4 linked regions of the Stegostoma tigrinum genome follow. The protein of the gene in region 4 purifies or fractionates together with the protein of the main gene of each other region. This does not show direct contact. Links are inferred from orthologs where the notes say so. Each region holds a gene or a part of one and is shown on either strand. Other genes may lie near its edges.

Region 1 (6,998 bases), on a different chromosome or scaffold from region 4:
AAGGGGACATGTTGGTTGAAAACAGACTTGGTCAGGACGGTGACACTATGTTAGAGTAGCATCAATGCATACTTTAAGATATAATGCCCTGTTTCTGCGTTCAACATGCCATGACTCTATGAAACAGCGGTCTCCGCATGTTTTAGTCGTTGCTGAAATAGATGTACTTCCCTGTGACTTAAAAGGCTGAAACTCTTTTTAAGTGTTCCATAATTCTGAGAAGTTTTAAAAAAAAACCCAGTTTTGGCATTTAGAATTCAAATGTAATCTTCCTATGCTGAATTCTGATCAGCTGAACAGCAAAGACTTTCTCATCAAGTTCAATTGTTCTTGCATAGCGGTGTTCTGATTAAAACAAATACCAATACTGCCACAAGTGCTTTTACTAGTGGAATACAACAGGACACAAAAATACAGGACAGGTGAAATTGAAATTGGCAGCTCACATCTACTGGAGAACATTGATCTTCATGTTGTATATTTATTAAGGTAGCGAGTTCATGATGAGTCCCACAAACAATGTTTATGCAGCATTAGTGTTGAAGCAATTAATAAAAAAAAAGTGTATGCTTGTGCAGGGAATGTCTGCAATCATTGGTTTATCTGTAAGTGCTCCTAGAGTTTATACAAATGAATTAGTGCTTTCTGGATTGACACGAATGATTCGAGATCCATTGCGGAGATCCTGGAGCTGCTTGGCTGGTGTTCCAACTCCTTCCTCAAACCGTCTCTCCACCACAGGGAGCACAGTCTCATACAGGAATGAAACATTCTCACGAATGAAGACTTTCTTTTCTGGGTCCTGCTCACAGCGCAGGCTGTAGTCAACATGCTGCACTGCCACCAGGATGATCTCACGCAGGCTTTCCAAAAGGACCATGTGCAGCTCAGGGAAGTATAGCTTCAGCCCTTCCTCCAAGAAGGCCATCAGCTGTTTTGTGAAGGCCACAATGGTGTAGCTGAGATTGACCCAGCAGTCATCTCCAGTGTACTGATCAAAATTGGTGATTCCACTGGCTTTCATCTCCTCCTTCAATTTTGCCAAGGCCTCCGGTGTCATCAAGTTCATTCTTCGCCACATCTCTTCTGAATTTCTGTGCTTGGTGGCCTCCATGATGATGCCCTTGTAGCTGTGCAGGGCTGCCTTAATATCTTTGACGAGCAGTGCCTGAAGAGTAAAGGTGAGGTCCAGGCCGATCTCACTGAGCTTGCTGCAGTGTTCTTTGGCCACCTCCACGCACTCAGCTGTGGTGGACAGGCTCTCCTTGCTGTCAAATACCTGCTTGCTGAAGGCATCCACAAACAGCCGGGTGGCTGAGCGTGACCACACCACAAAGGCCGAGTAACAGCCACTGTCACCAGCAAAATCCATCTCAAATTCCTTGGCCGTGTCCAGCAGGCCAGTGAAGAAGATGTTGCAGAGTTTGTGGATGTACAGCAGGGTAGCTCCCTCGATGCGCAGCTGCCTGATTGCTGTCTGCACTGCAGCTGCCCGGTTCTTCAGGAAGAGCTCGCAGGCTTTAGTGGACTGACCCAGCCGGATCAGCTGAGAAACAGCACGGCGGGTTGCCCGTGGACCACCTCGGAGCGAGCGGCCAGGGGATAGCTCATACATCAGCACATCAGTCAGACGGCGGACCCGCTGATCCACACGACTCCTCAGCTGGCGCACCGCGGGCTGGCTGGTTGCTCTACTCAGGTACTCGTTCAATTTGTCCAGTAAGTCAACAGCGCCTTCAAAGTCCCGCTGAGCAATACAGACATCCAGGTCTTCGGGCAGCTCTTGAATCCATTCCAGGCTCAGGTCCACCAACTCCATGGCTGGATCAGACTCATCCTCAAATGGGTTAGTTTTCGGTGACAGAGGCCTCTGTTGCTTCTCTTCCTCGGCCACCAGCAGCCGGGCCTTGGCTTCCTCTTTCTCCACCTCCAAGCGCTCAGTCAGGGCCTTGTTCTTCTTGGTTTGGTCCAGGATCTCCAGCCACTCCTTCTTGACCTTGGCGTTCTCGGCCTGGAAGACCCGCGTGTCGGGGAACATGAGGATCTTGAACATGTCCCGCATGGGCCCGTTGTCCTTGACATTGACCACGGCGAAGCTATCCAGTGGATACAGGGCGTCGTAGCGGTAGCGAACAGCCCCGCGGCGGCTGGGCAGCCAGGCAGCCACCAGCAGGCAGTCGTTCATCAGGAAAGCGTGCACCCTCTGGATCTGAGCTGCGCTCTCGGCATCGCACTCAAGCAGGTCACCGTTGTAGACCAGGTAGCGGCCCGGGGTTTGCAGGATGTCCTGGCAGCCTTCCACCTTCTCCAGCAGGGTGGTGAGGGTGCGCTGCTTGTGCTCCTCGGCCTCCCGGGGCAGGATAAGGAAGGCTTCGGAGGAGGAGGAGGTGGAGGTGGTGGTGGTGGTGGTGGTAGTTGTGGTGGAGGAGCCGAGAGAGGACGATGAGGTCCCGCCAGCCGTGCCCATGGAGGCTTGCAGCTGGCGGGATCCCTGTTGCTGCTGCTGTTCCCTGTCGGCGGTCAGCAGCATCTGGGTCAGGCCGTCCATGATCCCCTTCTGCTCGGTGAGGATGTGACTGAGCTGGTACATCTCACTCTCCAGGTAGGAGATCTCCCGGGCCGTCTCGATAAATTGCCGGTAGTTCTTGTAGACATTCTTCTTCAGGTTCTGTGCCGTCTCATCGGCCAGGCTCTGGATCTTGTGTCGGTGCTCCTGCAGGTCGCGGTCACCATCTGACTGCTGCGACAGCTGCTTCACGTACTGGGCCGGCTCGAAGCGGGGGGTTTCCAGCTGCCGCCGGAGCCTGGAGGCCACGTCCGCCGCCATCTTGCCGCCGCCGGTGGGAGGTTGATTTAGCCACCCCACCACAATATATACCGCCCTCGGGTTTTTCACAACTGCTCCCGTCCGGCCTCCACGCTCGGGGGCCCTGCTCTCTGCGTCAGGTCGCTCCTCCAAACGACTACCGAGGCCTGGGCTCCGCCGCTCATCTGCAGCCTCCAATTGGCTGGCCGTCAGCAACGACCCGCAGTCCCATTGGTCACACTGCGCCAATACTGACTTCTGACTGGTGCGCCGCCAGCAGTAATCCGCTCTCCTATTGGCCACGCTGTGGCGGTTCCGGCGTCCGATTGGTTGCCGTGCTCCCCGTGACCCGCAGTCCCATTCGTCGCTCTGACAGCTGTCTAGATCATGATTGGCTGTCTGTCTTTAATTGTGCGCTTGCATGAGGAAGAGTCACCGGAACTCTGATCTTTTTCTTCACAGATGACCAGACCTGCTGAGCTTTTTTTTGTGCTTGGCTGTTGATTTGCTTCTCCAATGCTGACTTTGCATTGGTTAACGTTGGTAGTCCCATTCTGATTTGTCATTGGGTGGCCCGTGGTATCATCCTGCGCTGCCATTGGCTGTTATGTTTGCGGCTCCATCATGTGATTCGCCAAGTAAAGGGAGAGGCCCTACCTCCGTTTGTCTACGTCAGTTGGGTGGTTGCAGGAGGCGGTGCTGAGCGGTATGGATGGTGATTTGTTGTTGGCGCTTCAGTTGCAGGCCTCCTGGGACGAGGAGGACCGTAGCGATGCCAGCTCGAGCCCTGGTATGGTCCCGCAGCCTCCGGCGTCTCTGTCCGTGGTGGACCCGGATTGGGAGCTGATCGACCCGAACCCCGACCTGCACGGCCTCTTCCTGCAGTTTAATGACTTGTATTTCTGGGGCCGGCTGTCCGGGGTGGAGGTTCGCTGGAGCCCGCGGATGACTCTGTGAGTTGTGGATAGGCCGCGGCTTCACCGCGGTTTGCTGAAAGGGGAGTCGGTGCTTCCCGCGATATCCCACTCCCCTGTCTCCTTGTTGAAGCCGGTCAACAAAACTTAGCGTCAATATCCAATCCAGAAGACTACGGCACAAATAATAGCTGACTCTGAGAACTGCAGATGCTGGAGTCGGAGATAAAACAGTGTGGAGCTGGAGGAGCACAGCAGGTCAGGCAACACCAGAAAAGCAGGGGCCGAAATGGCATCTTGCCTGCTCTTCTGATGCTGCAGTGCTCCTCCACCTCCACTCTGTTATCTCTACAAATAATAGCTGTACTTTTTTCTTGCATGTGCTGAAAAGACCTGCTCATTGAAGGAGGGAATCTGGAATCTTGAATCTCAATTTTTGCCATCTTTTCCTTTACAAAAAAATCGCTCTAAACAAAGTTGGATAGACTTGACAATGCACTTTTGACATCTGCATTAAATCTTCACTCTTGTTGATTGTTTGTGCTACTTGCTGTTTCTCATGCTGAATAAATTGAGCTTACCTACTGTGGATCTGTTACAGTTGTGCGGGTGTGTGCAGCTATGAGGGCAGAGGAGGATTGTGTTCTATACGTATCAGTGAACCTTTGCTGAAACTGCGACCCAGGCGAGACTTGGTTGAGGTATGTGCTGATTGTGTCAATACTGTGACCTCTGGTATTTCCTTCCTACAAGAAGTAGGCTGGTGTGCTGATAAAATTCTGATTTCACTTCAGACTTAACTTCAAACATTATTTGCAGCCTCTGTTCTGGCATTAAGTGTGCCTGGTCAATTGAGTCTACTCTACAAGTAGGCAGTTCAGCCTGTTAACATACTCTGTAATTTAGTTAGCCTGTGACTGTGTTCTCTTTGCAACACTTTTTTTTAGAAATTGTGGCTGGTGAATCTGTGGTCCTAACTGCACTGATCTCCCCCAGGTTAGGAATTTCTTCTGCAAGGATGCTTCTGTGGAACATGATCCTTTCTTCAGGATAGTGTTAATGATGGAAGGTCCATATACTTCCCACCCTCCTTGCATTGTAATAAGTTCAAGGCTGCTCCCTCTGTTGAAAGTTTTTATAGTTCTGAAATTCCAAGGGTATCAGGTTTGCATTACCTCAGAAATCACTGATGTAGTGACAGTAACGTGTTCTCTGCTAAGGTGGTAGATTTCCATATTGTAACTTCAGATAAATGACTGATGCAGAGGGACATCTGAAGAAAATGAATTTAAAAATCTATGAACGTAAACTATTTTTCTTGCTGTCTGGCTACTTGTCCCACATGTCCATTTATCCTATAAATTGACATTTTTGAGGATAACTGGTGGGGTTAAGCTGCACAGCTTCTGCTTAGCAAAAGCTTTTTTGATTTTGACTGAGGTGTCTGTCTAGCTTGTTTGAGCTGGCTGAAATGAAAATATTTTAGCGATGAAGCAAACTATGTATTTATTGGAAACACAAGCCAAAGGGCCACAGATGCTGGAAAGCCAAAACAGACTCTTGTTTACAATAATAACAAACCAGAAATTACAGTAGAAACTCAGCAGGTCTGGTAGTTTTGAAAGATGGGTCACTGGACTTGAAACTTTGATTCTGCTTTCTCTCCAGATGTCACTGGACCTATGTTTCTTCAAGTTGTTTGTGTTATTGAAAACACAAATCTGTTCAGATTTCCAGCATTTGCAGTTTTTATTTTTATTATATTTTTATTGGAGTTTGGGGATGAAAGTGATGCTTCCCTGTGCAAACATGAAAAGCCTGATAACTTGAAGAAAACTTCTTTTTAGTAACTCTACCATTTGTAGAGAGGATTTCTATCTTTTCTGCAATCCCTCAGTCATGCTGCTTATCCTTCCATAACCAGGAAGAGGTGCATCCCAGATAACTGGAATCACAGAAGCAACTAAATCAGTCTTAACCGGAAGTAATGAAAGTATCTTGCATCAAATCCTAGCTGAATTTCACTTGCTACACACAGTGGAGCACTCTGCTAGTGAAGAGGATAATTGTACAGGGTTTCAAACTTACAACAGGTCGGAGCAAAAAAGTGGTTACATTTGGAAAGGTAGTACGATGAATATTTAGCGAATTCAGTTGCAAGTATGCCTGGTGTAATCTCTGGGAGACTTCAAAAGCTGAAGTAGAACTCCCAGTCAGTAATAGTGAGGCAAATCTCAAATTTGGCCATGACTACTTTTTTGTTTGGACCTTAACTACTTTTAGTCTCAAAAACTATGGATTTTTAACTTGATAAAGTGGGGCATTTTTATTTTAAAGTGAGCATCTTTTATACCTCAGATGTACATACAGATTTCATGCAGTTTGAGCTTTTTAAATGGTTGTATTGGCATCCATTGAAGGCAGTTTGCATCAATATTGGTTTCTTTCCAGCTTGCTCCAGGCCAAATAACCATCTTAAATCCAAATTCCCTTGGAGCTTTTAGTATATCTTTTTTAACTGCAATCTCAGATAAAACCAGCAAGTCATATCCCTTAAGTAACAGGTTTACTGTATTATTGCAGTCTTAGCAATGTACAAGTAATCAGTTGAGGGTGCAAATGAGATGACTGTCTTAAGGTTGCATCATATTTAAGTAATTTAATTCATTCTGTAATTAAAGTATGTGTGCATACCCATTGCATTATGTTTCTATTACTCAGGTGTGTTTTTACACATTGAGGACCTCTCTTAATTAACTGGAATACTTGAACAATAGATACATCTTATTAAAGAGGTTGACCCCACCCCAGCCTCTGATAACTAACTGAAACCGAAACACCCTAGAGAAGATAGCCTCTCCTCCTCGTTTCTTAGAGCAAGTGTGAAAAGTGATAGTCTGCCTCTCACTGCCCAATCTGTTATAAAGGGGAGGTTAAATGAAATGAGGTCCTGACAGTCTCACTCTAGATCAGCAAGTAACAATTTAACTACTCGAACCATAAACAAATAAACATAACTACTTAGAAACTGAACAATTGTCCCCCCTGAACTAGAAACTATTCCAGGATAAGACAAAATTCTATTGGTATGCTATAGTAAATAGAAGTCCTACACTTATAAATCAAATTTAATTAAAAAGTACTTAATCTCTCAATTTACAACTAGAAATGTCTTCTGGAATGTCTAGTGCCTTCTCCACTGTCCTTCAGTCAGGCGTGCCTTTCCCTGTCAAATTCTTGCCAGGAATATTAGCTGGAAATGTCATAAGTTTAGTCAC
Region 2 (7,782 bases), about 76 Mb from region 4:
AAAAAAACATCTTCCACTTGCCTGAATCCCGCCTGCCTTTTGAATTTTTGTCCCCAGTCAGGGGATATGTCCCACAGTGACTACACTTCCAAAGTTTTTAAATTGGCTGCGAAGTACTCTGAAATAGCTGAAAGTCATGAGGTACAATAAAAGTTTAGTTATTCTTTACTATTTAGGATTGTACCATCTGCAAAATGATGCATTTTTGGCTATTTCATAAAATGCAAAACACAGATATGATAATACATAAATGCCAATCTTTCTTCTGAAGTAAAAATTCAGTATTGGATTACCCAAGTACTCAATACAACAGTATTCAACATATTTTCCTGCCGAAAGTAGGTCCTGAACTTAGCTAGAGACTCCACATACAGTCTTTTGTTAGGAATTCCTTTAAATTTTCCAGGCTCCCAGTTTGAACATTCCTTTCTTGCCAAGTTTAAAATGGTTGTCTCATCTTTGCAGCCTCTCCCACAACTGCTGCTGTGTTCATACTGATATGCTGCCATTCATTTTCCCAACGCTTGACATTCCTCCAACCACAAGATGTTTCACGCATTTGCTGCAGAAAGGCTTACCAGTAGATGTACTTGAGGCTATCAGCATCATGGGAGAGAAATGGCTTACCAGTGGAGGGACCTCTCCTGATTTTTCCACATATGAATTCAGGAGGCAAGTGTACTCTCACTGGTTGACCTTGTGATTAAATTTTCACAGGCTTGGTGAACCTTCACATTAAACTGTTGGTTCCCCTTGCTTTATTCTGTGCAGGCTTCTATATCAATCAATCACTCAGTTCAAACCTATGATAATGCATTTCAGAATGCAACTCAAATATTCTGGGTGTGATACCTTTCCCAAAACTGCCAAAAAAAAAAATCTATATCGACAAGTGGACATCTGTTCCTCTACAGCTGCTGTCTGGCCAATTAAGATTCCAGTATGTTTTTTGTTCAGATTTTTGACACCCGCACAACTTTGTACTTCACATTCTGGGCTGCTGTTGAAAGAGATAATGGGAACTGCTGATGCTAGAGAATCCAAGATGACAAAGTGTAGAGCTGGATGAATACAGTAGGCCAAGTCGCTGCAGTGTCTCTTGTCGATGCCACTATACATTGGCGGTTGGAGGAAGTGAATGTTTAATTGTGATGGGATTAACACAGAGAATAAAGTTAAAATGTCTGAATTAAAAGGCCCTATCTAAATGTGCATGCTGTACATCAGAACAAGCAACCTTTGAGTAACAAAATGACTGAAAAGTAGAGATAGATGTTTCTAGTGTTCATTAATGTAAAACTTTACAAGGTGTTTCAAACAGGTGAAATTAGTTGCTCAACGGTGAAAGTATAGGAGAGAACCAAAAACATGATCACGGAAGTAGGTTTTAAGTAGAGTGGGAAGAGATGGCCACACAGAAAAATGTACTGTAACAGAGCAGAAAGGGACTAGAGTTAAGAGGCATTTCGAAGGTAAGATGGGGTTTGGCTGGGGACGGATTTGAATTTAATACTTTAGGGAACTAGAGGCCAATGGAGAACAGTAGGAACTGGCATTATAGACCAAGTACCACACACAATGGGTGGAAGACTAGTGAAGTGAATTGGAACTTGCTTAGAGGAGCTAGGGACATGAACTAAAGCAGTATTGATGGGCAACAGGAAAGGTGAAGTCTGTACAGTAGAGTGCTTTCCTGTGGAGAAGGAAATGAGCAATCTGGATGATTTGATTCTACATGGATTTTGACTAAGGTCACACAGAGACAAGGATACGAAGTAACTGTAGTGGAGAAAAACAAATGGCTTTAACATTATGAAGGATGCCCAATATACATGACCAGCACCAGATCAGACAAACAACCTGAGATGTAGGCAAGGGAGGGTAAGTAGCCATTAATACTACGTGTGCAGAAACCATGGAACATCATATAGATAGGAAAGAGGAAGGAATCAGTAATGGAACTTAGAGAAAATTACAGAAGCCATGTAGTAAAGAGTTTGCAGGCTGCTTTAGAACAGGGTGCAGTGTAATCAAGTGAGCATTGTGTCACAGATATTAAAGGGAAGGAAAGGAAGGAACTTGAAATCATCAACAGAACTAAATGCCATGGAGGGGTTGGTAAGGGCAAGAATGGTGCACCACAGCTACAATCGCCAAAGGTGGTGTTGGTAACTTTGACCAAGATAGATTCAGAATGAACCAATTTGACCAGCGAGTGATTAAAGTAGTAAATTACAGTTGCAAAATTTATCAATACAGTTAATACATAGTAAAAACTGTATATAACAAGTTCAATTATTTACCAAAATGATTTGGCCTTACTGTTGATATTGTCAAGTTAGAGACACAGAATGAGTCTGGTTGTCTTCCTACATTGACTGGTTGGCACTGTAGACAGAAAATGCAGTGAACTGAAACCTGTTAAAACCATTGAAATCTTGAGGATGCAGGGATCCCCACACACTGATAATGATATTAAGAATTAGGCAACATGCCCTCCTCACAATTTTTGTGGATTTTGTTTTATTTTATTTTATTTTAATTATGCTGATTCACTTTTGGTTTGATTGGAAAACTGCTGATTCTTCTTCAGTGACATTGTGCGACTTACAATCGACTGCAATTGCTCACCAGAATAAATCCAACCAGTTAGTACTGGAGGAACTGAAAATGGCCTCAGTGTGATTTCTGTTTTGAGCAGACAGGAAGATACTGACAGATGGTTCCTACTTTATAATGTACCACATTCTTATCACAATAAAAACTATGATATCCAAGTTTAAATAGCTGGGAAAAATGACACTTTCCAGCTAATACTGTCCCCAATCTCCGGGCTTTTTGCAACAACTCTGACTCGAATCCGAGCCAATTCCCCCGTACTGTTAGCCCCAGCCCACTGCACCCCATCGTGTTTACCTTAAAGCAGAAAGCAGATCCCGTCCAACAGAGACGACCTCTCAACAACAACCAACAGCCAACATCCCAATGCCGGATCCGGAACTGAACCACCTCCACTGTCACATCCGGATATGTACCGCCCGCCCCATATGACAATTTGAAAGGCGCCATCATTCAGACTGGCAAAGCTTTGCTATTTACTCTTTCCATGCTGGAAGAGATGTGTCAGCTCTACAGTCTTATTTTCAGCTGTTTTTCTAGCACTGTCAGAGATTTTAACTAACTGTTAAATGCAAACATTTAGTGAATTTCGATTTTGTTTTGTTGAATTGTGCAGATGGATCTTGTTTGAAAATTTAATCAACTTTTCTTCCAGATTTCCACCTCTTGTCTTCGTATGATCCATACGTGACTCTTTCCTCCCGTCTTAGAATCATACAATACAGAAGAGGCCCTTTGGCCCATTGAGTCTGTACAGCCGAAAGATAAACTGCCTACACTAGTCCCACTTTCTCACACTAGGCTGACAGCCTTCAATGTTATGACACTTCGTCTGTTCATCCAAACATTTTTTTAAAAGCTTGTGAGGTTATCCGCATCAACAACCCTCCCAGGCAGTGCATTCCAGACCCCCAACCCTTCTTGGTGTTGGTGAGCTCCAAACTGCATTTGGCTGTTAAAGACTTGTGTGGAAAAATTGGGCATATTTTTCTTAATGTTTAGAATTCGTTTCTCTGTTCTTGCCATATTTTTCCAACTGTGTCACCGCTCCCCACATTGTTTGGGGCTAAGAAGATACCTCAGATTGAGTTGGCTTGACTGTGGAAACCTTTTTAAATGTTTTCACAAGGGACGAGCATCGCTGGCTAGGTCAGCAAATGTTGCTTACCCCTAATTGCCCTTGAGAAGGTGATAGTAAACTACTTTCTTGACAAGCTGCAGTCCATTTTCAGGAGAAGGGTTTCAAGAGCGAGGGCAGGGTAAGACTTTCTGCAACTTCAGCCCTCTTAACCCCAGATCTCTCAATCAGGCAATGAGTGTCATTGAATGAGTGATCCCCACACATAGGGAGCTGGCAAGGGTTAGCTTTACAGGCTTCCTGCTTGGCAATATCCCCATTATCTGCTAGGTGAGAGTAGACAATGGCAGGAGGAGGCCTTAAATTGGCATTAATCTTCCTGGCCCAGGCATAATCAGGAAGATGGTGGATCCCAACCAGAATAAATGCCCTTGTGTCCAAACTTGCCTCAGGGTGTGTTAAATTTCTCCCATTGTTTTTCATTGAAGTTTACATAGAAAAATTGCTCCCTGAACACCTCCTGATAGGTGCCTCTCTCTTTTTCCTCAATGCCCCTTTTCCCCTTTACTCTGAATGACCTCTCCTTATTCTCCAACTTATGATGTAGAGCTAGCAGAATCCTTACTAATACACCCAAGTCTGGAAGCAACTGTGTTTTGCAATTGGAAGTCATCAAGAAGTCTTTCATCATCAGGCACACTATTCCCTCTGATATTTGTAACATGAATAACCATTGAAAGCACCAAAGATGTAGAGAATCATGATAACAACTGGAAGAAATCAAACAAAGAACTAGCTTGTATGTAGCTCAATGTTTTAAATAGTGCTGCTCAGTGGTCCTTTGTGTTGTTGAGCAACTGTTATATGATATGAAGAGAGGACATTGCTGGAGTGATGAGCTCAATAATGTCCTGATTGGTGTCAAATCAATATTGCATGTCATGAGTTCTGAATTCTTCCAGCTGACATTCACTATGTATAGATTAATACTGTCACATATATGGCAGCCAATATGATTCAGTGCATGATATATTAAGAGCTGCAGATGCTGGAGTCAGAGATAACACAGTGTGGAGTTGGAGGAACACAGTAGGCTAGGCAGCATTCGAGGAGCAGAAATGTTGATGTTTCGGTTCGGGACTCTTTTTCTGAAGAAGGGTCCCTACCCGAAACGTCAACTTTTCTGGTTGTCTGATGATTCAGTGTATGCATGTGCACATGTGTGTGCTGCAACCATCCTTATGTAGTTCTCAAGTTCGAAAGGTATTTGTGGTGCCCCCAAAACACATTAATGTTATCAAATTTTCATCTTAGCATTACGATCTATCTTGTCTGTGTAAATGTTTGATGATTAATTCAATTCAATTCCTGCTGAAAATGTTATTATAGCAAACAGTTAAATACAAATGAGTACAATCCTGTTTATCAGTTTCTGAGAGAATCAAATTGTTACTAAGTACTATTTTTTGCCTTGCAGTATCTTATCTGATAATTAAGTTACATATACAAAGGAATTGGAGGTTAGTATGGAACTGAAATCTAAATATGCAATTATTGCACATAGCATTGAGTATTTTACATGGTCAATATAACAATTTACAAATAGTATGTTAATTAGCAAAGAGGCCAACTCAGTTTGTAAATCAGATGTCAACCGAAACATATACGTTGTCATACGTGATACTTGCATAATGTTTCTAATGTACAAAATATCTTAATGCATTATACAGAGTAAAGTACTTTATAATAATTTCAAAATGGCACAGAGATACTCCATCAGATACAATATAAATATTAGCAGTATTAAGAAAGTAGCCACAATTTTTTTTTATTTTCAGGAATGGAACCACAGAGAACAAGAACCTGGGTGACATTATACAAAATTTACCGTATTACCTGTCAAATCTGAAACGACTTCTTCAAGGAGAAGACCTTAAGAGTAATTAGGATAGAAACATTGGAACAATGTAAGGGGAAAGTCAGATTGGAGAAATTATTTAAAATGATAGATCAAACTGAGCATCAGAAACACAATGTTTGAAGAATTATGAAAAGCAATTCACCAGGAAGCAGAATTGAAAAAGATTTAGACAGTGAAAAGGAAGTACTCATTCACTCATAGCAGTTTGGCAGCTTGTTTGAAAGATTTTGTCATGAATTTTTGAACCTTTCTCAGAGGAAATATATCCTCAAGTTAGAGAGATGAAGTATGAATATACTATGTCTTACCCTTCCCAGGACATCAAAGCTGTACTATTCCTTTACTCTCTCAGTCTTTACTTTGTTCTACATGACATGCGTTAAAAACCAAAGGTTGGCATAATCTGTTCAATGCTCTAAATTTATCCTACAAAATCTTCATCCAAAGCAATGAGAGTGGAAATAGGATAAAGTAGTCTGAGGGAAAATGGAATAGGTCAGCAAAAGCAGAATCTGGGTAAATCAGTGAGAGTGGAAGCTGGTATAATACAGTGGGAGCAAGAAAATGAATGACATAGAGTGAGTGAAAGCTGAATAGCAGCAAACCTTATTGAGGTCGAGGTTGGAAGGGGTTGGGATGAGAACACACCAACACCAGCCAGGTTTGCTGAGGTGCATTCCTGCTACTATGATGCAGGTAGACGATAAAATTTATTGTGAATGTATGCATTATAGAATATATCATAGGTCATATAGGATGAATATATTATAGGAAATTTAGTTTGGTCATTGTAGTTTTTAAATATAGGAAGAAAGGGAAGCTGATGCTATGGTAGCAAAGCCATTATGTGAGCTGTTAAAAATCAAATAATCAGAGTCTTGTTAACTATGTTTTGAGGAGATGATCGACCTTTGAGAACTTCAGAGAAGGTTTAAGTCATTCATGGAATTTTCCAAAAGCAGAAAACCATTTGAATGCAATTAACAAGATTTTGAAATAAAACAAAACACTGACGAAATTTCACAAGTCTGGCAGCAAATCTGGAGCCAGAAATAGTGTTAATATTTTGTGTATAATATGAAAATGATACTGCTTTCTATTTCTCTCCTTGTGTTTGCCATGACTGAGTGTCATAGCCACATCTCCTTCCTCAGTGACTAGGTGTGGCTCTGGATCTGGCTCTGATTTATCCAACACAGATTCCAACTGGAGTTCCATTTTTGATAATGGGAACTGCAGATGCTGGAGAATCCAAGATAATAAAGTGTGAAGCTGGATGAACACAGCAGGCCAAGCAGCATCTCAGGAGCACAAAAGCTGATGTTTCAGGCCTAGACCCTTCATCAGAGAGGAGGATGGGGTGAGGGTTCTGGAATAAATAGGGAGAGAGGGGGAGACGGACCGAAGATGGAGAGAAAAGAAGATAGGTGGAGAGGAGAGTATAGTTGGAGAGGTAGGGAGGGGATAGGTCAGTCCAGGGAAGATGGACAGGTCAAGGAGGTGGGATGAGGTTAGTAGGTAGGAAATGGAGGTGCGGCTTGGGGTGGGAGGAAGGGATGGGTGAGAGGAAGAACAGGTTAGGGAGGCAGAGACAGGCTGGGCTGGTTTTGGGATGCAGTGGGGGGAGGGGAAGAGCTGGGCTGGTTGTGTGGTGCAGTGGGGGGAGGGGACGAACTGGGCTGGTTTAGGGATGCAGTGGGGGAAGGGGAGATTTTGAAACTGGTGAAGTCCACATTGATACCATTAGGCTGCAGGGTTCCCAAGCGGAATATGAGTTGTTGTTCCTGCAACCTTCGGGTGGCATCATTGTGGCACTGCAGGAGGCCCATGATGGACATGTTATCTAAAGAATGGGAGGGGGAGTGGAAATGGTTCGCGACTGGGAGTTGTAGTTGTTTTATTGCGAACTGAGCGGAGGTGTTCTGCAAAGCGGTCTCCAAGCCTCCGCTTGGTTTCCCCAATGTAGAGGAATCCACACCGGGTACAGTGGATGCAGTATACCACATTGGCAGATGTGCAGGTGAACCTCTGCTTAATGTGGAATGTCATCTTGGGGCCTGGAATGGGGGTGAGGGAGGAGGTGTGGGGGCAAGTGTAGCATTTCCTGCGGTTGCAGGGGAAGGTGCTGGGTGTGGCGCGGTTGGAGGGCAGTGTGGAGCGAACA
Region 3 (7,109 bases), on a different chromosome or scaffold from region 4:
ATCAGTGAGTGTCAATAAATTATTGCCTTGCCAATAATGCCAATATCCCATTTGCAATTCTGTTATAAACACAGGTGCCTGCAACATATTCCTCATCTTCTTCGTTTGCATTTGTATGATGCTTTGAATACTTACCAAGTCAAAATGATTTTGTATTTTTTGTTCAAAAGTGTCATAATCATAAGAATCAGAAAACACAGACAATAATCATATGAAATCAGACACAGCAAATTGTTTCATTGACATAGTAAGATAGGAGCATCACATGTTATTAAATATTTACTTAAGAACATCATTCTGATTGCATCTACATAAAAATATCGATGTTACTTGTAACAATAAATTAGAGCTAAGGTTGAAAGTAGATACCGTTTTAAACAATTTTACCCCATTGCATTCATTCATTATATCTGTGACCTAATTACTGCAAGATCAAAGGGATTTCACCTCAGTACATCACTGGGAGACATTAAACATTGTTCCATACATCACATATTAAATGTGATAACCCCAACATTACGTTTTAATTCAGACAGCTTCCCTGTGAAGATTTATATAATTCTCTTTGCCTGTTGTCTCAAAAATGTTTATTCTTCTGTGTTGTCTCTTTCAGAACACCAGAAAGAGAAACAAATATGCCTAGCCTATTAAATCAAGTATTAAAGAGATAAAATTTTGAGAACAAGTGCTTCTCCATCACTGTTTACAAACTGTTAAAATACTTTGTCAATGTTGCTGCTCATTTTTGTAAATAAATATAAAAACAGCAATAATGTACAGAAAGCAACATGTATTTATGAAATGACAATTTAGCTTTAACATATGTCATATCTTTAATACTTTGCTTTTGTTTGTGTCTAATAATCTTTTTCTTTTGGGATAGTGCAGATTATTGCAAAAAAGCACTTGTTGGTCAAATATTTGCTGATAGCCATTCCTCGGTTCCAACAAATTGCCTTAAAGTCAACTTTATAAACCCACTCCACAACAACAAACAACAACAACACAAATTTCATAAACCCACTGCTGTAACAAATAGGTGTTTAACAGTTCAAACCTATGACTGCTAAGTACTTGTTCCCTGTCAGCTCCCCACTTCCCTTTTGGAGAACGTCAAGGTTTCTACACCCAGTTGTTCTGCAGTTCCTATTGCATATTTTAGAAGTTTTCACTGGCAGATATTTCTGAGATCATTTGTAAGTTTTAAATTACATTTTATTTTCAATGCCAGTCAATCTTAAGTAGTGTTGCACACATGTAGTCAAGACATAATATTGTTTTCAGATGGAGAAAAACACAATAATGTATTTCAGTCCAGGTTTGGCATCATACACTCTGTCCTTTCCTGTTCACTTCTATGATAGGTTCCTATGTCTCCACCTTTAAATGGATATGACCTGTGAGGCTTTAAACTGAGGGTCCATCTGCCCTTTCAGGTAAATGTAAATGATCTCATAGTACTACTTCAAAGAAAAAACAGGGGAGTTGGTGTCCAAGTCCAAGTCAACAATTATCCCTAAAACAAGTTCACTAAAATAAAGTATGAACTCATTATTGCGTTGTGTTGTGCATGGATTAGCTGTCATATCTTCAGTGATGACAATTCAAAAGTATTCAATTGCTCATGAGAATTTTGGAATGTTCTAACATTGGAGAAATACTATATAATTGCAAGCTCTATTATTTTTCCTTCCCTATGTAAAACTATTCTATCCACTACCCTATGTGGTGTTGCTACACTTTCCAGAATAAATATGGACAAAAGGGTTTTCAATGGTAAAATAATAACTGGAGGTCTTTGTAAATGTAAAGTTTTTAATATAGGGTTTGAAATATATATATATGCAATAACTGTGTTTTTCTAAAGCTTGAGAAGATTGGTTCTGTTCAAAAACAAAACTTTGTAAAATCTTCATTACAGTACAGTTTACATCATTGAATTCCATATTTCCTTAATGAAAATACATAGAAGAAAATTATCCTCATTTTCTTTCAGATTGTGTGGATCTATCAGGAGAACATGTAAACAGTCAGTTTCTCCAATGAATGTTTTTTTCAATGTTTGACAATGAAAGAATCCTTCAAGTTCTGCCATTTTGCAGTGTGCACTAATTATTGTTTTATAATTACAAAACATTGTAAATACTTAGTTTAAAAACCTACAATAAAGTATTTGTACAGATCTTGTCAAAACGTCTTGGAATTGCTGCTATCAGTGTCTTTGCAAGTAGCATACAACTCAACAAGGCACCAAAGATAGACAAGTGTTGTTTGAAGTTGTAAATTCTAGGCTATCTTTCTTTAACACAGTGCTATTGTTATGTCTATTTATTGCAAGAACATTTTGATGTGAATTAAAAAGGGAAAAATGGGCATAAATCAGAACATTATCCCCCAAAATTCTGTGGCTGCTGGAGGTGTCCATGACAGATATCAGTAGATTTTTGTTGGGTAAGTGGTAAAGAATGTGGAGCAAGGCAGACAAATGCAATTGAGGTGCAGACCAGCCATGATTTGAGCAGACTCTTGGTGTTGAATACTCCTGCTACTAATATTCAGCTGGAACACAAGTTGTGGATGAGGCAGAATGTCTTGAGTTCAAGTTCTGATCCAGGAAGTGGAGAATAAATTCTGGGCTGAAACTGCCATTGCGGTACTGTGTTAGTGCTGCACAGTTGCAGGTGCTGCCTTATAATTGAGACACTAAGGTAAGACTTACTCTCACTGTGTGCTCTCAAGTGCACTCAGATCAATGTGAAAACACCATGTGACAATTTGATGAAAAGCAGTGGCATTTCTCCCCAGTGCCCAGGGCTGTATTTATTCCTGTAGCAACAATGAATTATGTGGTCATTATCAAATTATCCTGTGGGTTTGTCCTGTGAACAATTGGTTACTGTAATTCCCTATATTATTACAGTAACAATTGTTTAAAATATTTCAATGGCTAAAAAGCTTTGGAATGTGTTGAGATAATGAAAGGTGCTGTTCGAATGCAAGCATTTCTTCACATAATTTGACAAATTATAGGGCAGTTTGACCCATCATGCCTCTGCCAGCTCTCCGGATGGGATATTCACTTAGTGCCATTTCCTGGTCTTCTGTCTGAAACCCTGTATATTCTTCCTTTTCAGATAATAGTCTAACTCTACTGTGAGTGCTTCAACTGAATCTGCCTTTGTTACAATCTCAGTTAGTACACCTTAAACAGAACCACTCATTATGTGAAAAAAATCTCATTGCCTTTGTTTCTTTTACTAATTATTGTAAAACTATGTCATTATGTTCTCTATCTCTTCACAAATGGTAAGTTTCTCCCGATCTATTTTGGTAGGATTGCTCACTGCATCTATTAAATCTCTGTTCAGCCTTCTACTCTCCAACAGAAATGGTCCTTCATAACTTTCTCATCTTGAGAACCGTTCTCATGATTTTTTTTCTGAACTCTCTCCTATGCCTTCACATCCTCACCAAAATGTGGTGCCTGGACTAGCTGGGCTCGCAACCCCAGTTTAAGACAATCTCACGTTCTATCAACATAGCCAACTTGCTTTCGCACACTTCTCTCAGCAACTGGTTAGCCTTGAATTGTCTTCCACAGGCAGAAGCAAAGGCTGGATCTTTGAAGTCATTCAAGGTTGAGTTAGCTAGGGTTTTGATCAACAAGGAAGTCAAGGGCTATGGGAAACAAGCAGGCAAGTAGAGGCAAGGCAGTGAGATCAGCCGTGATCTTTTTGACATCGCTCACGCATAAGGGTTTGAATGGCCCACTCCAGATCCCAGATTTTATGTAACTCCCAGTGTCTATTAGTATACTTTGCTATAATTTCGGCCATAGATTGTTTGTTGTGGTTTGTAGAGATTATTTTTAAGATAGACTCTCTTTGCAGCGTATACAGACTTTGGTTTAGATAAATTATGTTTGCTACGACAGCTTCAGACTGCTCTAGACATAGCTCACTGATTTCTTGGATAGTCTAATGCAGATAGGAATGGAGACCGCAGCCAAAGTACAATCTCCAAACCGTTCCCCAGCTGGCCGGAAATGTACTTGCTCTGCCGTGGTGCATGCTGGGTTATGTAGTTTCCCCAATGCGACAGGCCGACTACACTACCCGTCGGACGGCGCGGTTTCTAATCTGGCCGGTCGGAGTTTCGTGCCGTCGCGGGACACGGTTTGAATGCTCGTGGTGTTCGATTTCGTTATTGTCTTCCCGCCGTCCCTCTGGCGCTGCGAGAGGCCGTAGTACCCCAGGCAGGGTTAGGAGGATCTGGAGTGGTGAAGGTGGTGCTAGGCCCGGGCCTGGGGCCTGTTCCTGCTGCTTGAAGTGCAGAGAGGCGTCAAAAGACAAGAAACGGTCAAACGAGCCCGGGTGTGGTGTTATTTCGTTCCCAGGGTAGGACAGTCAGTGACATTTGCGGTTCGGGACGCATTTCGTTTCAGATTAAGAGTGCAGTCTGGTGACATTGCAGTCGCTGGCTCTGGGTAAATGTTAGTGCGGGTCTATGGGAGTCTGTGCTTGTCTGGTGTTCTCAGTCTAGCAATCTTATTAAAATCCTCAGATCCAACTGTGCGTGTTATTGCAGTCTCAGGGCCTGGTAAATGGCAATCATTGCGAACCCTTGTCAATGATGATATTACAGCTTCAAGATCTGGGACTTGCTTCCTTCTCTGTGCTATTGCTACCCCACGCTGTCGTGTTATTGTTCAGCTGTGTTGTTATTTATTGTTGTCCTAGAACTGGAGATGAAATATATTAGAAAGTTACCTTTACATAAGGCAATTGTCAAAAGTTTACGATAGCCTTAAAGAATTGTTATTGTGAAGTGTCAGTTAAAGGATTATGTCAAAATTTCAATCCAGCACTTACTATCCTTTAGTCTTGGTCAGGTAGCTAAAGTTTCTTATTGTAGTGCACTATGTTCAACCAGAATGAGGGCATATTGATTTGAGAGCAGCTTAAACAGGTGAACTGAGCTCTGGGTAACACCCTAGCAGAAAAGTGGAGTTATGATCATTCACTCCCGCAGTACTACATTAAAGTGTCACGTTAGTTTTTGCAGAGTCCTGTGCTAGTGTTGAAGCTTCAGTCTTTTTGCCTTCAGAAGGGTGATTGCTATCACAGAGACAAACTGGCACTCAGTATCTCTGCAGAATTCCATTTCCATTCTTCCATTCTGATAACACCAAGTCATATGGGGCAATGTAGTGGGGAATGACCACTGTTTTGTTGCAGCTACCAACAAAATGGGACATTACTTTTTGTTCATGATTAGACAACTTGATAGGATGATTATTTGTAGTACTATACCTGTTACCAATGTCAATATACATTTTGCATCACTTTAGTTTCATAAATGCCTAATTATTTATGATTTTCAGAGAAGTATTTGGTTTTGTAGCTTTATTTATAACATTTCATTACAAAATCAAGTCCTTTATTTGGACACTGTCTGAGAAGATTTTTTCCCCAGTTTTATGAACAATTTATTTGCAGCAAAATTGTGAATGCCGTTTTGTTGTAGGATGTATTTGCAATCAGAAACATTTTTTTAAAATCAGTAATGGTATTTGTTTTAGGGAGTATTTCATGTTTCATAACACAAACTTGATTCCTGCTATAGAGAGGTTTTTTCCTCAGTAAAATTGTGTTTGTTTTTTAAGTTGTAGTTTATTTCTGCTAGCCACTTTACTGTCTTGCTCAACATCCCTACTGTATCAGCAAGTGTAATTCTGTCTCTGTTAATCTGACTTCACTATTGTCCCTTATATGTTCTGTACTGTTCAGCAGCTTCAAGCCAAACTTTAAAGCAATATTGTTTCTTTCTCACTCTGCAGCCACCTAGTCTGAACACTCATTTCAGTTAAACTAATTCTAGTGTAAAATATGAATCAAGATCAGTCATGTGCGTGCTAAAAAATCTGGATTCTGGGAGTCATTTAGCCTCCTGTCCCGAGTTCCAAAATGATTCAGAGTAATAATACTTTGGTTATATTTTATTCAGCATAAGTAAGATTCAAGATATGCAATTGTTTGAACACTGTTATGCTGTAGGTGGAAGACTGGCATAACCAGGGAGTGATTATGGAGAGACCAATCAGTGGGGCATCTGGCCCAGGCTTCTTTACAATTCCCAATGTCTTGTAAGGTCTGTCTGTTTGTGAGATTGTCTCAAATCTGCTTTGAACAGACACCGTTCACTCAAAATTCCTTTGTATGCTTCCTTTCTGCAGTAAATTGATCTCTGGAAATCAATTCAACCCAGTCACTGCCTCGCTGTATCTGAATGGCCCAACTACCAAAGATGTCAAATTCATCCATCTGCTAGGCCAGGGTAAACTCTTAGGAGCTTTAGCTTCCCATTTTACCTATCAGTTTGGAAACTTTGAGTGGATAGTGCTTGGCCAAATGATGATCTTGGTAATGACTGAGCTAAATCAGTCTCCATCGACTTTGGAAATAAAGTGTAAGGATGGAATTCCTAGCAGAGGAGCTAGACAAACTAAAACTGTTGTTAAATTAAAAGGTTTATCTTTGCGTTAAGAAGGTTCTGTTCTTCGCCAACTGGCTTTTTGTAATACAACACATCAGGCTAAAATGGTTTATAGCATCTTACTCCAATGCCCTGAGTTGGCAGCTTTTTTTCTTTCCCAATGTACAAAATGCAAAAGTGGTAAAAGAAGGTTATGCGTCTGCTGATCATATAATATTCTTTCATTTGGGTCATTGAGCCACATTACTTGATCTTGTTGACAGGCTAAAGTCTGTGATGCAGTGCAGCATCAAGGTTATGAAAGCTGGAGATAAAATGGTAAATCAAGAACCAGTGATTTATTGAGATCAGAGATAATGGGAACTGCAGATGCTGGAGAATCCGAGATAACAAAGTGTGGAGCTGGATGAACACAGCAGGCCAAGCAGCATCTTAGGAGTACAAAAGCTGACGTTTCAGGCCTAGACCCTTCATCAGAAAAGGAGGACGGGGAGAGGATTCTGAAATAGGTAGGGCGAGGGGGGAGGCGGGCCAAAGATGGTTAGAGGAGAATATAGGTGGAGAGGAGAGTATGCGTGGTGAGGTGGGGAGGGGATAGGTCAGTCCAGGGAGGA
Region 4 (7,951 bases):
CCCCAAGAACTTAATGATTTCCTGTTTTGATTGGGGAATGAGGAACTGTGCTATAGTGTGAAGCTTTGTAGAATAGTGGTGGTAGTGTTCTGGTAATGACTCTGGGCTGGTAGTATATATATATACCAGTAATATATACCAAGAGTAATATATACCAAGAAGGAGATAAATATTTCATTTTTTCAGAAAACTTTCTGAAGAAAGGTCTAGGCCCGAAACGTCAGCCTTCCTGCTCCCTTGATGCTGCTTGGCCTGCTGTGTTCAACCAGCTCCACACCTTGTTATCTCACTTTAGGGTTCACCTGGAGCACTGACAATGTGGTCCTCTGGCTGACAGGTTTTGGCTCTGTTGGCCTTTTTCATTGCTTTCTGGGAGATTTTCAAGGTTCTCAGGAGTTGCTTCTGGAATGCAGCTACACTCTAACATGGAAACCTGCTCCCCTGCTCCAAAAATACCTCCTTGATCAATTCCAGAGGCTCTCACACTTGGTGTCTGTGAAATAACTAAAGTAAAATCCATGGTTTCAGTGGGTGAGTCCCTGGTGGTGAACAGCGGAAAATCTTGTCCTTTTTCACCAGTCATGGGAATGCTCATAGTCATGTAGCACGGAAACAGGTCCTTTGGTCCAACCAGTCTATGCTGACCACTTTCCCAAACTAAATGAATCCCACCTGCCTGCAATTAACCCATAACCCTTCAAACCCTTCCTGCTCATGAACCTATCTAAATGTCTTTTAAACTGTATCTGCATCCATCACTTCCTCTGGAAATCCACGTGAACTACTCTGAATAAAAAGGTTGTTGCCTTCATTTCCTTTATAAATCTTTCTACTCTCACCTTAAAAAAAAGGCCTGCTAGTTTTGAACTCCCTAACGTTAGGGAAAAGACCTTTGCTATTCACTTTATCTGTGCCCCTCATGATTTTAGAAAATCCTATGAAGGTCACCCCTTGACCTCCTGCACCCCAATGAAAAATGTCCTATCCAGCCTATTTCTACAACGCAAACCCTCTATTTCTGACAACAGCCTGGTAAATATTTTCTGAATTGCCTCCAGTTTAATAATAATTTTCCAATAACAGGGCGACCAGAACTCCACACAGTACTCATGGCAGTGTGCCCTGATGATTGTTCTCAGGGTCTGAGGGTATCATTCCAACGTCCCTCTCCCCCATAACTGTGGATGATATCTGAACAAATTGGAACAAGCCGGATCGCATTGGGCAGACGAAGTCAAGTGAAGAATTGAACCAATTCCCACTCCACTGCTCTGGTGGATATGGTTCTCAGGAACAGACTCTGGAAAATAGATAACCAAGTTCATGATGATGAGGATGTATTGATCGCCCCTTTTTTTCTTGAGGGGTGCTACACAGTCTGTCAACATTTTGCTGACTGATTCCCTGAAACAAAACCTTCCGGTAGGTAACGGCCGACTGGTATTTTTGTTAGACTATTAATCCAGAGACCCTGGTAATGTTCTGGGGACCCGGGTTCAAATTCTGCCATGGCAGATTGTGGACTTAAATGAAAATCTGGAACGAAGAGTCTAATAATAATAACTGCAAAAGCATTGCTGAATGTCAGAAAACCATATCAGATTCACTAATGTCCATTAGTCTGGCTCCAGACTCCAGGCCCACAGCAATATGCCCTTTGGACAGTAAGGGATGGATAATAAGTGCTAATCCCAGCCAGTGACACCAACGTCCCATGAATGAACAATAAAACAATGCAAACTTGGGAATCCTAGGGCAGGTCTTATTGTGAGTTGGGGTTTGCCCATAACCTGAAAACTTCTGCAAGACCTCACTACAACTTGTGGAGCTGTGACCACTTAAAATATTGGCTGATGTGGGAGTGGGTTTTGCATTTTCCAGCGTGACCAGCTGGCTGCAATATTTCTCCACCGTCCCTTTGCAGCACTGCCACCTGGTGGTCACTGTCCACTATCTATGAGGGAGATCTCCATTCCTACACCCACACCTCTTTTTTTTAATGTAGCAGCATTTAGGGACTGCTTCTGCAGTCTGAGTTAGGGCTTTGAACACCAGATCATCTTGGTGGGATGTTACCAAGGAAGGTCTCCTTACTACCTTCTTGATGTCTTGTAGATTCCAGAAAAGCTTTCAGACAACTGGATCAGCGGGTGAAGAAGGGTCCCGACCCGAAACGTCAGCCTTCCTGCTCCTGAGATGCTGCTTGGCCTGCTGTGTTCCTCCAGCTCCACACCTTGTTATCTGTTGGTTCAGGGGGTTTTCTGTTTGTTGTGTTGTCTCAGGTTGTATTGACTTTATGAGCATACACTTAGGGAGAATGCCAGACAGTTTCTCCTGGAGCCGTTAGGATTCCCTGACCTCATTGACCTCAGTGACCACTGGGGATACTACTACCCCATCAGATCAGTCCCAAGGACCAGATTGACCTCTCTCACATAGAAACTGGATAAGGTAGTCACTGGTCCTGACACCCAGTAAAGAGGTATGGGCAAGTACCCTTCTGCAAGCCCCTTTACCGTAATCTTGTACATGCCTTTTTCCAGAGCAGCATTTGACCAGCCCCATTCTTTTTTCTTTATTCATTCACGGGATGAGGGCTTCGCTGATCAGGCGGCATATATTGCCCATCCCTAATTGCCCAGAGGGCAGTTAAAAGTCAACCACATTGCTGTGGGTCTGGAGTCACATGCAGGTCAGACCGGGTAAGGATGGCAGTTTCCTTCCCTGGACATTAGTGAACCAGATGGGCTTTCCTGACAATCGATAATGGTTCTATGGTCATCATTAGAACCTTAATTCCAGATATTTATTAAATTCAAATTCCACCACCTGCCATGACTGTATTCGAACCTGGGTCCCCAGAACATTATCTGGGTCTGTGGATTAACAGTCCAGTGATAATACCACCAGGCCATCGCCTCCCCAGGTGGCTTGCTTGCCTCACCCTGTGGAAATCTGGCCACCCTTTCTTTGAATACAAAGTCTGGTAACTGTCAGGGATTTGGTTGCCCTCATTTTCTCTCTCAGCAGTGCCCCACAGTGATTTACAACTACAGTCAGAACTTTAGCCAGGCCTGCGAGTTTCCTGCCTGATTCTCATTCTCTGCACATTGTGGCATGTGCCCTGGTGGCTTCCTATTTTTCCTGTCAACAACTGTGTGAATGGTTCTCCGGAAACTGAACAGCTTAGAGGAACAAGTTGGAGGGAGACAGAAGTGTTCTGTCCATCCCTAGCTCAGGAGCAGTCTCCGTGTTCTCTGTAAACCTGAAGAAAACTACCTTGAGTCCCTGAGCAAGCAGTGAAAGCATCTGGAAAAAGATGGTTGAAGCAATTGCTGGTCAGCAGAAGAGCCATACGATAGAACCTGGGAGCAAAGTCTACTTTCCATTATTTCTCCTCTCTCTATACTATGTGTGCCCGCATGTATGCATGTGTGTGTGTGTGTGTGTGTCTGCCTGTGTAAGTAAGTAAGGGAGGAGTTTATAAGGAGGCTGGATTTTAATTAGTAGTATCATATGCTAACGGTTCATTACTATTTACCTGTAGTTAGTCATTCTTGTTCAGTGTAGAAATCTGGTCTGTGCATTCTATCAACCTAGGTTTGAAAGTCCAGTAAATTGGGAACCCTCAAAAAGCTTTAACTTTCACAATCATCCAGGGCTCAACTTGTAGCAGACTACTTCTTACAGAATTTGGGGCTTGTGTCGGATTGGTTCAGAAACAAAGAAAATGAGGATTAGAATGGTGCATGAGTAAATTATACAACAGAAAGAAAAACACCAGGCCCTGTACTGTGCTTAAGGCATAGCACTGGAAATATCAAGGGATTTCTGCAGGTGGCAGAGCTTTTGCTGGTGGTCTTGAAGGAAATGTCAAAACCAAGGTTGGTTTAGTAAAATGGATGTAGCACTGCCTGAAGGTAAAAAGCTAGAAAGTCAGAGATAAATGAGGTACAAGTGAGGCACTTGGAGGAAGTATAAAAAACGCTGAGTAATTTAGGTAGTGAAATGTCAGAATCGGTGATATTCAATGAAAAATTAAGCGACTGCAGGATGAGGACAAAATGAAAAACTGGGTGAGGAACTCCAAAGGGAAGTAAAAGACAAGGTCACTTCCTCAGATCAGAAAGGGAAGCATTGAGGGTGAAGATGACAATTGTAAGCTCATGGGTTTCCATTGAAACAATGTGGGACATATTCATCCAGAATGCTGAAAGTAGAAAAATAAATCAATGGAGCTTAATGGGTTTCTAAGAATGATATGAAAAGGAAACTCAATAGGAAAAGGCCACGCAGATCAGGTTGTAGTTTTAACTACAACTAAGAGTCAGGAGGGAACATTGCTGTGAGTGTAGAAATAATACATAGAATAGATGAGAAATGTGAAGGGTTTTCTTCTGAAGGAAAAAAACCCTTTTTCTTCAAAGGAAGAGTTGAAGCCCAATACTCTCCTAAGAGACACAGACATTACTCGAACTCTACTGGAGAAGGATATAGATTTACCTCCAGAGAGTTAATTGAAAGCCAAAGTATTGGAAAATGGGAGAAATGGAGAGCAAATCCCATTCCATTGTATGGGGTCCAATTGAACAGTGACTCATTGTCTGGTCTAATGGTCATCAGGATAGTTAAGAAGTTACCTGTAGAAGAAGATTGATGAACGGCAGAGCAGGCTAGAAGGGCAGAATAGCCTCTTCCATCTCCTATCGTCGATGTTTCTTCCGACTAACTGGTAACGAGTCAGCCAATACCAGTCATTGCCACAAGGAGGCTCTTTACTGATTTGGCTCTGCGCAGGCGCTAATTCCACCAGGTGGAAAGCCTGATCAGGATAACGAAGTGTGAGGCTGGATGAACACAGCAGGCCAAGCAGCATCTCAGGAGCACAAAAGCTGATGTTTCGGGCGAAGGGTCTCGGTCCGAAACGTCAGCTTTTGTGCTCCTAAGATGCTGCTTGGCCTGCTGTGTTCATCCAGCTCCACATTTTATTATCTTGGATTCTCCAGCATCTGCAGTTCCCATTATCTCTGAAAGCCTGGTCAGTTCGAGCGGGAAGGACTCCAATTCCCAGCATGCCTCGGCCCTCGCCCTGTGACGTTTGATGCCCGGGTCGCCGCCCCCTGTCCGTGCGTCATCGCGCAGCGCCGGTACGTTAACATAAAGTCAGCAAGATGGCGGAGGCGGAAAGTTTGGAGACGGCGTCGGAGCACGAGCGAATCCTGCGGGAGATCGAGAGCACGGATTCGGCCTGTATCGGGCCCACGCTGCGGTGAGCGGCCGGGACTGGGGGTTAGGGCTCAGGCTGAACCGAGCACGCCGCCGTACTGGGAGAGGAGATACAGGCACCCTCCCCAGCCCAGGATCAGGAGTACGCCCCCTTATCCCCCACGCACAGGACCACCCCACTCCCTTCCCCACCCTCATCCTAGGGCCCCACCCCCTTATCCCCCACCCCCTTATCCCCCACCCACAGGACCTTACTCACCCTCATCCCCGGGTCCAACCCCCTTATCCCCACACCCATCCCCCTTATCCCCACACCCATCCCCATCCCCATCCCCACACCCATTCCCACCCTCATCCCCACCCTTGCCCCCCCTCATCCCCACCCTTCCCCCCCCTCATCCCCACCCTTCCCCCCCCCCCTCATCCCCACCCTTTCCCCCCCCCCTCATCCCCACCCTTTCCCCCCCCCCTCATCCCCACCCTTTCCCCCCCCTCATCCCCACCCTTCCCCCCCCTCATCCCCACCCGCAGGATCACCCTGCCCCCTTATCCCCCGCCCGCAGGATCACCCTGCCCCCTTATCCCCCGCCCGCAGGATCACCCTGCCCCCTTATCCCCCGCCCGCAGGATCACCCTGCCCCCTTATCCCCCGCCCGCAGGATCACCCCGCCCCCTTCCTCACCCTCATCCCAGGGTCCAACCCACTTATCTCTCACCCACAGGACCACCCCACCCCCTTATTCCCCCACCCACAGGATCACCCTGCCCCCTTCCCACCCTCATCACAGGGTCCAGCTCCCTTATCCCCCACCCTCAGGATCACCCTGCCCCACCCCGCCCTCATCCGAGGGTCCAGCCCCCTTCTCCCCCACCCACAGGACCACTTTCTCCCCTTCCCCACTGTCATCCCCGGGGCCGAGCATCTTCTCTGCCTTCCCCGTCATCGCCCCAGACCACTCCCTTTTCCCTCCTCTTCCCCATCACTCCAGGACCACCCCATTCTCCCCCTTTCTCACCATTACTCCAGGACCACCCCATTGTCCCCCTTTCCCATCATTCGTCCAGAACCAACTCCTCCTCTACCCAGTATCATCCGTCCCAGGACCATTCCCTCCTCTACTACCACCACCATCATCCTCATCCTCATCCCAACTGTCCTGCCCCAATCACCACCATTATCCCAAGAGCATCTCTTAGCCTTGACATCCCAGGACCATTCCCCTTAGCCTCATCATAAATTCATTATTCCCCTCAAAACTTTCCGGGACCACCAACACCCCATGATCCCAGGTGTTCCTTATGAGACAGGAATCTCATCCCGAGAACCCATTTGTGTCTCCTCTCTTTTCAGATCAACTCATTTCCTGGGATGGCCATTTCATGATCCTCGGATTGCCCTTCATCCTGGGGACCCCCACATGGCAGACACACACTTTATTCCAGGATTTCTCTCATATAGAGTCAGTGGGAACACCACCCTCATCCTGGGATTCCCTCATGCAGATGGGACACTTCCACCTGGCAGATTCATTTCCCTATCCTGAACCCTACCTTATCCCAAACTCCCCCCTCCCCCAGTCATCCAAAGTCTCCTGAACCTAGGGACGACCACCTTGCCCCCATTCCAGAAAATGCCTCAACTCGGGATGACTCCTTAATCCTTGAAAGTGGAGTTGCAGGTTGACAGGATGGTGGTGGCATTTGGCACGCTTGCCTACATTCGTCAAAGCATTGACTGTAGGAGTTGGGATGTCGTGTTGCTGGTGCACAGGACATTGATGAAACCACTTGTTGAGTACTGTGTATAATTCTCGTCGCCCTTCTGTAGGAAACATGTTGTTAAACTTGACAGCATGCAGGAAAAAAAATTCAAGGGTGTTCTGTGGTTGGACAGTTTAACCAGTAGGGAAAACCTGAATAGGCTGGGGCTTTTTTCCTGGAGCATTGAGGGCTGAGGCATGATCTTATAAAAGTTTGTAACATCAATAGGAGTGTGGGTAGGTTGAATAGCAAAGGCCTTTTCTCCAGGGTCGGGGGAGTCCAAAACCAGAGGGTGTAGGTTTAAAGTGAGAGGGGAAAGATTTAAAAGGGTTGCGAGGGGCAACGTTTTCCCCCCTCAGGCACCTCAAATCTTAGAGTGCCCATGGGATCACCCCCGTCTTCGTGCTCCCACTGTATTCTGATGCCACTCTCTTGTCAGATCAACTCGTCCTGAAGTGTTGCCAGTTTGAAGATGAGCACTCCCCAAGCTTAGTGTGTCATTGGATAGAATGTCATTCTCAAGAATGCATATTGTGAAGGGGCAAATGAATTCTATTGAATAGCAATTTCACCAATTCTTACAGCTTCTAAGAAGGGAGTGCACTCATTTTGTGTATGATTCTCAGCTGTTTTAAGGAACTGTGGTCAGTGAACCCTGCAACAACAGATTCAGTAATAGCGAGTTTTGAGAAGATTTGTAACTCAGGTTGAGGTTCTGGATGTGAGTTTGCTTGCTGAGCTGGAAGGTTAGTTTTCAAACGGTTCGTCACCATTCTAGGTAACATCATCAGTGAGCCTCCGATGAATCGCTGGTGTTATGTCCGGCTTTCTATTTACCTGTTTAGGTTTCCTAAACAGAAAAATAGAAAGCGCTGGTGTTATGTCCCGCTTTCTATTTATCTGTTTAGGAAACCTAAACAGATAAAAAGAAAGCGGGACACAACTCCAGTGCTTCATTGGAGGC

The links.
Region 1: the proteins of exocyst complex component 6B-like (region 4) and exoc8 purify together in Homo sapiens (affinity purification with mass spectrometry; 3 studies listed by BioGRID and IntAct, counting the BioPlex papers as one, with this or other methods). This does not show direct contact. The link is inferred for Stegostoma tigrinum from reciprocal best matches to the Homo sapiens genes EXOC6B and EXOC8.
Region 2: the proteins of exocyst complex component 6B-like (region 4) and exoc1 purify together in Homo sapiens (affinity purification with mass spectrometry; 3 studies listed by BioGRID and IntAct, counting the BioPlex papers as one, with this or other methods). This does not show direct contact. The link is inferred for Stegostoma tigrinum from reciprocal best matches to the Homo sapiens genes EXOC6B and EXOC1.
Region 3: the proteins of exocyst complex component 6B-like (region 4) and exoc3 purify together in Homo sapiens (affinity purification with mass spectrometry; 3 studies listed by BioGRID and IntAct, counting the BioPlex papers as one, with this or other methods). This does not show direct contact. The link is inferred for Stegostoma tigrinum from reciprocal best matches to the Homo sapiens genes EXOC6B and EXOC3.

Annotation. Positions count from the first base shown.
Region 1 is NC_081357.1:94,381,336-94,388,333, forward strand, and holds exoc8 (exocyst complex component 8), read right to left. Parts: upstream 3,021-6,998; 5' UTR 2,828-3,020; coding exon 623-2,827; 3' UTR 366-622; downstream 1-365. Other genes in the region: DNA-dependent metalloprotease SPRTN, read left to right, coding at 3,515-3,759, 4,322-4,421. UniProt on the Homo sapiens protein: Component of the exocyst complex involved in the docking of exocytic vesicles with fusion sites on the plasma membrane.
Region 2 is NC_081354.1:109,168,397-109,176,178, reverse strand, and holds the start of exoc1 (exocyst complex component 1), read right to left. Parts: upstream 3,011-7,782; 5' UTR 2,917-3,010; intron 1-2,916.
Region 3 is NC_081355.1:20,903,128-20,910,236, reverse strand, and holds the start of exoc3 (exocyst complex component 3), read left to right. Parts: upstream 1-4,098; 5' UTR 4,099-4,397; intron 4,398-7,109. UniProt on the Homo sapiens protein: Component of the exocyst complex involved in the docking of exocytic vesicles with fusion sites on the plasma membrane.
Region 4 is NC_081354.1:184,934,348-184,942,298, forward strand, and holds the start of exocyst complex component 6B-like, read left to right. Parts: upstream 1-4,940; 5' UTR 4,941-5,171; coding exon 5,172-5,269; intron 5,270-7,951. UniProt on the Homo sapiens protein: Component of the exocyst complex involved in the docking of exocytic vesicles with fusion sites on the plasma membrane.